Linked DNA regions of Rattus norvegicus. The protein of the gene in region 2 interacts with the protein of the main gene of each other region in a biochemical or structural test. Links are inferred from orthologs where the notes say so. Each region holds a gene or a part of one and is shown on either strand. Other genes may lie near its edges. The genes, in order: Sele and Glg1.

Evidence for each region.
Region 1: the proteins of Glg1 (region 2) and Sele form a complex in vitro, tested with the Homo sapiens proteins (2 studies listed by BioGRID and IntAct). The link is inferred for Rattus norvegicus from reciprocal best matches to the Homo sapiens genes GLG1 and SELE.

Annotation. Positions count from the first base shown.
Region 1 is NC_086031.1:78,935,015-78,939,378, reverse strand, and holds the start of Sele (E-selectin precursor), read right to left. Parts: upstream 2,866-4,364; coding exon 2,829-2,865; intron 2,350-2,828; coding exon 1,966-2,349; intron 1,508-1,965; coding exon 1,400-1,507; intron 983-1,399; coding exon 794-982; intron 121-793; coding exon 1-120. UniProt on the Homo sapiens protein: Cell-surface glycoprotein having a role in immunoadhesion. Mediates in the adhesion of blood neutrophils in cytokine-activated endothelium through interaction with SELPLG/PSGL1. May have a role in capillary morphogenesis.
Region 2 is NC_086037.1:56,039,413-56,043,228, forward strand, and holds part of Glg1 (Golgi apparatus protein 1), read right to left. Parts: intron 3,309-3,816; coding exon 3,201-3,308; intron 2,274-3,200; coding exon 2,087-2,273; intron 1,342-2,086; coding exon 1,235-1,341; intron 1-1,234. UniProt on the Homo sapiens protein: Binds fibroblast growth factor and E-selectin (cell-adhesion lectin on endothelial cells mediating the binding of neutrophils).

The DNA.
Region 1 (4,364 bases), on a different chromosome or scaffold from region 2:
CTCTCCTGTACCCTTCCTCACAATCAAACGTGCACGTTGTATTCCATGGGTAGCTCCCAGGATTTGAGGAACATTTCCTGACTCCGTGGGCAGGTTGGGTCAAAGCTTTACATTCAACCACTGAGGAGATGAAAGAGAAGAGAGAGCTTTACTCAAAGAAAATTACAGATGTTTTCATTTTCTCTTGAATTAGGGTTTATCAAAGAAGGTGAAACCCATCTTCAAAGGGCATAGCCCAAACCCCTGTGCCAATTTCTTGATAACATGCAGACTCATAATGGATGCTTTAGTCTTTACTATTCACTTTAACTATGCTGGCTGGCCTCTGATCTATTTTACTACACATGGAAACAAGAAAAACAAAGAAAACAACAGCCTCTAGATCAAGATCCATGACGTGGTGTAAAGGCAATATTAACATACAAAGGACTTAAGCAGTGAACTTTTCAATTGCTCCAGAGTACTAAATTGTTGTGCAAAGAGAAGCTTCGTGATCAATTCAGAACTAAACAAGGTCCCATTGCATGGGAGAGCCAAACAGGAAAGTCCATGAGAAAGTTATGAGGCTGTCTAGACATGCTTCCACTGTCTAGACCCCTTCCTTTACATGTCACCAGAATCTCAGAAATACCTATTTTCAAAAAAAAAAAGTGGAAAAGAAATCCTATGCTAAACCAAACTGGTACCAGAGAGAGAAGAACACATCTTCCACAGAATTGGGGAAAGTTACAAGTTGGATAAAATCTAAGGCAATGAGGAGCAGTGGAAAGGTTTGATGCATTGGGAGAGTTACCATGGCAGGCAGGAGCAGGTGCACTCCACTCTCCAGAGGACGTACACCGCACTGTGGTCTCCATGCTGCTGGGCACATAGCCCCTTTCACAGCTGAAGGAGCAGGATGAATTATAGCTGAAGAGGCCGAATGGGTGGGTGCAGTTCAGGCTTCCATGGTCAGGGTATTCCTGTTCTTGGCAGGTCACAACTGGAAAAAAAAGAATCAAGTCGTACTTCTCCTCACCTCACCATAGTTATCACACATAACTATGTCCAGGTTCTATGGAGCCATTAGATGATGGAGCTGTTCCTATTATTATCTTTATAGTTCTCTGGAACCTAAAACGCTAAGCTACAGCTAGCTGCCACAGCACGTTACTTAGTTTCATGACAACTGGAATAGTCAGTCACCCCGTAAGACTACTTTGTCAAGGTGCCATAAGTAATACGGGTAGTAAGTCTAGAGATTGACCCATGAGGGTCTGATCTCATAGCCTTAGCTACTATATCACTCTTACTCGGTGTATTTTGTTAGAGGAAACACTTGGGCCCGACTGACGAGCTATCTGGAACACTAGAAGGTGTTACCATCTTTGGAGAAGGTACAGGGGAGGTCAAGATTTACCTTGGTCACACTTGGGTCCCAGGAAGCCGGGGTGACATTTGCAGGTATAACTATTGATGGTCTCAACGCATTCACCGTGACCACTGCAGGATGTGTTGGTACAGGAAGCTACAAGAAGCACAGGTCTTATGAAGAGAATCAACTATCATGGTGCTCATCATGGGTTTGCTTGTTTGTTTGTTTTTAATTTAGAGTCAGTGCAATCCAGATAAAACCAATGACATTATTGCTCGAACATTTGACTGACAGGCCAGATTCAAGTTCCAGGCTCATCTATTGTATATTTTGATGGTAATAAAGGCATACCAGTAGAATAGCTAAAACATTGTGAGTACATAGACTCTGTATATCGGTACAATGATATATGTAAGTATACATATTTGTATAGTTCTTGCCTTTACTCGCACAAATCAGTAAAAAGAGATGCAATCACTATTAAAATCTTTTATAATCATCTATTTAAAAACCAGAAAATGTGCACAGAGAGATCAACTACTTGACACACTCTAAATCTGTCAGGCTGCCTCCACACAGAACTGGCCTTCTGCCACATGGAAATTTCATACCTGTGTAACACAGAGCCAGTTTCTTTTTGTCACATCTCTCGTCATTCCACATGCCGGAGTCTTTGGGTCTTTGGATGTAGATCTCTACACAGTCCTCGTTTCTTTGTTTGTTGTTTGGTTCACCTGGCGCCCAGTTCTTAGCTTCCTCCGTCAGAGGCTTCTGGGTCCCCACCCAGATCCATACATTATTGACTTTTCTGATTCCAATCCAGTAATAACTTGGTGAATACCTCAGAGTGGAGTTTAGGTAATTGATCTCTTCCTTGTTCTGAATCGCCACCAGATGTGTGTAGTCCCGTTGACAATACGCACTTGCTTCATCATATGTCATGAGCTCACTGGAGGCATTGTAGTACCAAGCTATGCTCTTTCCAATGAGGAGAACTGGGTTGGGTAAGAAAGAAATAACAACATTTAGTCCTGAATTGTGTTGTCTTGCTTTTGGCACTTACAGGCTTTTGTGTTGGCTCAAACTATTGATTTTAAAAGTAAGAAGAACAACACCTGAAGGTGAGAGCATGTCTATAGATCACTGTTTGACTGCACATCTGCTGGTGCCTCATGGCAACCACAATGTTATACTCCAACTTCACAGTACAATGGAGGTCAGAGAAAGCAAACTTCAGTGGATGCTGGGGGACACCTGTTTGAGTCCCCTTTCAAGAACCAAATGAATGAACCTTCACAACGCCTGAATAGATCGCTTAAGATCCATCCTTCCCCCATAAGGCAGAACCCTGCAAGGATAGGTCATCAGTCCTGCTAACCACCAGGATAGCCCCACACAGCAAAATACCCTGATCTTAAGAGTGAGAGGGGTGAGCGAGTGTAAAGATCCCTGGTCTCCGATGACTCCAGCTTACCAAAGGTGAGAGCAGAGAGAAAGCACGAGGCATTCATGACCCCAGCACTTCCTTTCATCCAGATGCTAGACCGGAGAAACTTTCCTGAGGAGAGAGTGCTAAATTAGTCACAGAAGGACATTCTAAGTGCGGGTTACTCACACCCTTCTATCGTAACATTCAAGTCAAAACTGTGAGGTTTTAGAATCCTGTAGCTCCTGCTTTATTTCACAGGCATCTAGCATGAAGAATAAATGCAAACGTTAAGATTCCCATCATTTTGAACAGAGAGAAGGTGGGTTTTAATTGCAATGCTATCACAGTTTGGACAGATTTCTTTTATCAGAATGCCTTTTTGCATATGTGCGCACAGATATAAATCTATGCTTCAGGCCCAAGGCTCCTGTGGCTCGGAATCTGCACTTACTGTTAGATGAGATGTTGTTCGGGGGTTGGATTCCTTGGGTGTTATTGATCCTGCTTCTTTCTCTCTGTTCTAGCAGTTTTGATGTGCAGTCAGTCGAGGACCAGTGAGTATCGTGTCTGCTGCTGGAGTCTCTTTATAGGGAGCTGGCTTCCTGTGAGTCACAGAGCATTATTATCAAAATCTGGTAAAGAGGAAATCCTCATCCGAACCCAGAAAGTTTTTTGAGAACTAAAACACTTTCACAGTGATGTCAGAGACTCTGGCCCTCTAAGCTAATCCTTTATCTGGGCTCTTGTAATTTATATGCGGTTTTATCAAATACGATACAAGTGTGTGATTTTAATCCCTGGCCTCTAAAGTCTAATTACCATTATCAATTGTGTGTAGAACTTGGTTTCACAAACATAAGCAAGTGAAGATTTTTTTTTTTATTAACTTGAGTATTTCTTATATACATTTTGAGTGTTATTCCCTTTCCCGGTTTCCGGGCAAACATCCCCCTCCCCCCTCCCCTTCCTTATGGGTGTTCCCCTCCCAACCCTCCCCCCATTGCCGCCCTCCCCCCAACAATCTAGTTCACTGGGGGTTCAGTCTTAGCAGGACCCAGGGCTTCCCCTTACACTGGTGATCTTACTAGGATATTCATTGCTACCTATGAGGTCAGAGTCCAGGGTCAGTCCATGTATAGTCTTTAGGTAGTGGCTTAGTCCCTGGAAGCTCTGGTTGCTTGGCATTGTTGTACATATGGGGTCTCGAGCCCCTTCAAGCTCTTCCAGTTCTTTCTCTGATTTGTGAAGAATGTTTTATTACCCACGATCTGTCGCTCTCAATTTTCTTGTGTGTAACTGTTGCTTATGCATCAGGACCCAGTTTCTCCCCAGCCACTGCTACCTTAGCCCATCCTCACAGGCACTGTGGCCCAAGGGAGTCATTCACGAGCATGTTTTTTCTCACTTTCTATTCATTAGCTATGATGATGTTACAAAAAAAAATCTTCATTCATATATCATAATGTTTTTATACAATACAAATTAAACGGGAGATAAAACTGTGTCCTGTCCTTCCATCTCTACTTCCTGGATATCGACACTGTCTCACCCCTCATCACCTCTGTTTACTTAGCTGAATAT
Region 2 (3,816 bases):
TCTGTCTCTGACTAGGCTCCCGGGATTGGCCTCTGCTCTTCAGGTTTGTCCCTCAGCCATCATGTATATCCTAATTCCTATCTTTTAGTTCACAGGGAGCCAGGGAAGGAAACCAACACAGCTACAACACTGTTCTTGGGCCATACGCTATAGGTTTCCTGCCCAAACTGAGCCAGAGGAGGGGACCAAGGTCATCCTCAGGAGCGGTCAGTGCGCCACCAGCAGCTCCTGATGCTGCTTGCATGAGCCTGAAAAGCCGAGACCACATTTTATGTTTTTCTTTTCTTCCTTTTCTTTTGTGGATAAAAAGTGCCGTTTTGATGTGTTTCTTTTTAGATGAAGGTCCTGCATGCTGGCCTCAGACTTGTGATGCACGTGCTTCAGGCACCAAGCACTGGGGTTACAGGCGGGCACCACAGCACTGGCTGTTCTCCATCAAGTTTCTTATTTTGACTTTACTTATTAAGCACTACGTTGTAAGTATTTCCACATCAAAAACAATGTATAATCATCGCTTAAAATGACAGACTACACTTTAGCACACAGCAGTCTTGGACATTGATGGTTTAACTCTTTTCATCCTTAATTCCTACTGCATCCGCCAATGGATCAGTGTGGTGCCTCAGATGACAGAGTCAGGACCAAAGGTTTCCTAAGTGCACATAAAACTGCTCTTTTGGGTATGGTCCCGGAAGCGTGGTCAAGGGAAACCTGAGTGGCTCCTACGTTCCTGGTAGATATGTAAGAGCGGCGTAGGAAGGGGGCGATTAGTGAGATTTGCTGGCCCACAACAAGCAGTGAGCGACTCTGAGTCACTCAGCCTCAACCTGAGCAGCTCAAAGGGGAGGAGGACGACTTAGTGTCTGCTGTCCCACCTAACCTGGGGCTTCACACGCGACTTCACTCCTTGAGGAGTGAAGGGATGGCTGACAGTTATGAGGAACGATGACTTGTCAGTACTGGGGTCTGGGAAACTGAGACAGTGTTTTGTAGACTTAGTTTTCTGTGAGGGCGATGGTATTTCAGGGTTCATAAACAGTCCAGATTTAGAAACAATAATTTTTTTCCTTTGAGACAGGGATTCTCTATACAGCCTGTACACCATCACACCTGACCTGATTTTTGAAATATACCTTTTGCTCGATTTCTAGCCAGGATAACACCAGTCACATATGCCACAGAGATAAAAACTGGCAAAAGAGGCTGCCACATCAGGAGCTCTCTTGGTCCTTACCTTGGCTGCATAACTCCACATCTCGATTCGGTCATTCAGGCGCTTTTTGCACTCGGGCTGCAACCTCACGCGCTTGTCTTCCAAGGCCTCCATCAGGCAGGACATCTCTGTGGAAGCAAACGGCAGAGGCTTGCGACTGCACGGAAGTGATGGCTGCCAAATCTGCCAGAAGATTCTCAAGCACCTGAGAACTCAGCTCTCTGGGACCAACTGATCAAATTCCTTCCAAGAACCTTAATCAAGATCCCACTGGCGAGGAGTGTGGTTTCCAGCGTCAGCTGCTCAAGATCTCTTATCACCTCCTATTTTTGTTGGGTGTCCCTGGCTCAGAAACAAGTTGTCTGTCACCTGGGGTCCAGACGCCCAGCAGCTGCCATGGTGCCTTCGAGGGCCCCTGGGATGCTCAGTGTGGGGAGGGAAAGAGGATACTGATGGTGACTGAACTGTTTAAGAAGACAAGTCTCTCTATGCAGCTCTGGCTTTCCAGGAACTCTCTCTACAGACCAGGCTGGCCTTGAACTCAAAGAGATCTGCCTCTCTCTGCCTCTAAGTGCTGGGATTAAAGGTGTGCACCACTATGCCTAGCTATACCTGAATTATTGATTCTCTAATAAATAGCACAAATGTATTTTTTCATGAAATCTCTGGCTCTGGTCAATTCATACCTGTACAACTGTTCCCAAACTCATGGCCATCAAGGCCTAGCTTTACCATCAAGCTGACACGTAGAGATGCTGTATGTGGCTGGGATAAGAGACACAGAATAGAATAGCTGCACCTGGTAACTCACAGGTAGTTTTTGTCCCACCCAAGACAGTTCAGACAGGGACAGACTGAACAAACATTACTCACGACGCCCACGGCCGGGGGTGATGGCTGCACAGTGGTGTTTAATGTCCAAGGCACACGCTGTGTGAAGAACTGGATCCACAAAGATGTCTGCTTTGCTTTCCTTCAACATGTTCAACACTTCCTGAAAGGGAAGTTCATTGTGGGGAGCTTTGTAGAAGAAATGTATCCAATCTGTGTTTGTAACACTCTACAGAACATGCAAACAAACAAGCCAAAGAGTGAAGGTGACCAAGAAACTAGTCTGGGAAGGTGGGCGGTAACATTGCTAAATCTGCACAGAATACAGACTTCTGGCACCTAATTTAATCTGTTAACTACCTCTGAGGAAGCTAGGACAGTGCGTCCATGACGGATGATCAGGTAGGGTCCCTGGCACTCTGGCATGCCACATTATTTTAAAGTATGTATACGTTAGAATTTTATTGATTTAATAGTTGTTCTTTTACTGTAGGAAAACTGAACAATAAGGACTGAGAATCTTAACACACAGCTGTAAGGCTGACTTCTGAGCTCTATTTTCAATCAAGAGGCTAGGGACATGGCACTTGCTGCTCTTCCGAGGACCTGAATTTGGTTCCTAGCACCTACAATATTCAGTACCTCTGGCTTCCTTGGGCACCAGGGACTTATATGCACAAATGCACATGCAGATCACACACACGCACGCACGCACGCACGCACGCACGCACGCACGCACGCACTCAATCAAATAAGAGTCTATTTTACAAAGGCCGTGCTGAATGCGTTTGAGTCCACATTTTGAAGAAAGGTAGGAGCTGGTTGAAAACGAAATTCAAGCTGGCTGTGGTGGCATAAGCACTTGGGAGGCTGAGGCTGGTGGATCTCTGTGAGTTTGAGGCCAGCCTGCTCTAAAGAGTGTGTTCCAAGACAGCCAGGGATACACAGAGAGACCCTTGTCTCAAAAAAACCAAAAAGGTATTCAAAATACAAAATATAAGCCTTCCTACCCAGCATTCTATGCTGTTACCTCTTTCCAAACCATAATATGCTTCTTGACCATTATTCTGTCTCTCCTTCAATAAATAATGCAATAGGATCAAGAGGAAAATAGAGAAAAGGAGATAGGAGATAGGCACGGTGAGGGTGTGGCTACCTTTTTACACAGCTCTGTCCTGATCTTGAGCAGGTTGACCTTTAGGCACTCTTCCACTTGGCCTGTCTGTTCCTGGGCTGCTGCTTCTTCAGCACATAAATTAGCAATCTATTCAGGAAAGAGAAAACAGGGCTATCCTGCTGAGAAATAACTGGCTTCCAGAGAAGACCAACTCTGCCCAGCCAGCCCTGAATTCATGGTGCCTGTTGCTGACTCTGACTGGGCCTGCTCCTTAGGGACAGCTGAAACAACGCCACTGTCTTTGGAAACCCGGGCTTCTAAAGCTAACATTTCTGATTCTCCCATGTGCCCAAGGCTCAGCATAACAGCTTCCTAGTGGACTGTGCCCTCTCCACACCGTCTTGATGCCAGACACTTAAGCTCTCTTCTGGTTTCAAAGTTCACTGGCGATTCTGAAAAGAAATCACATTGTTCTAGGACTTATCACAAAGAAGGCTACTCTGTGATTCCACAGAAGGAAGGTTAACTTGACATGTGTTGCACATGGCATGAACTCATAGACTTCCCAAACCTGATCTTCAGAGAAGAGAGTAAACAACTTTCTTTAGATAGCTTTAAGAGCAATCTAAACAAGGCTCCTCAGATGGCCTTTTCT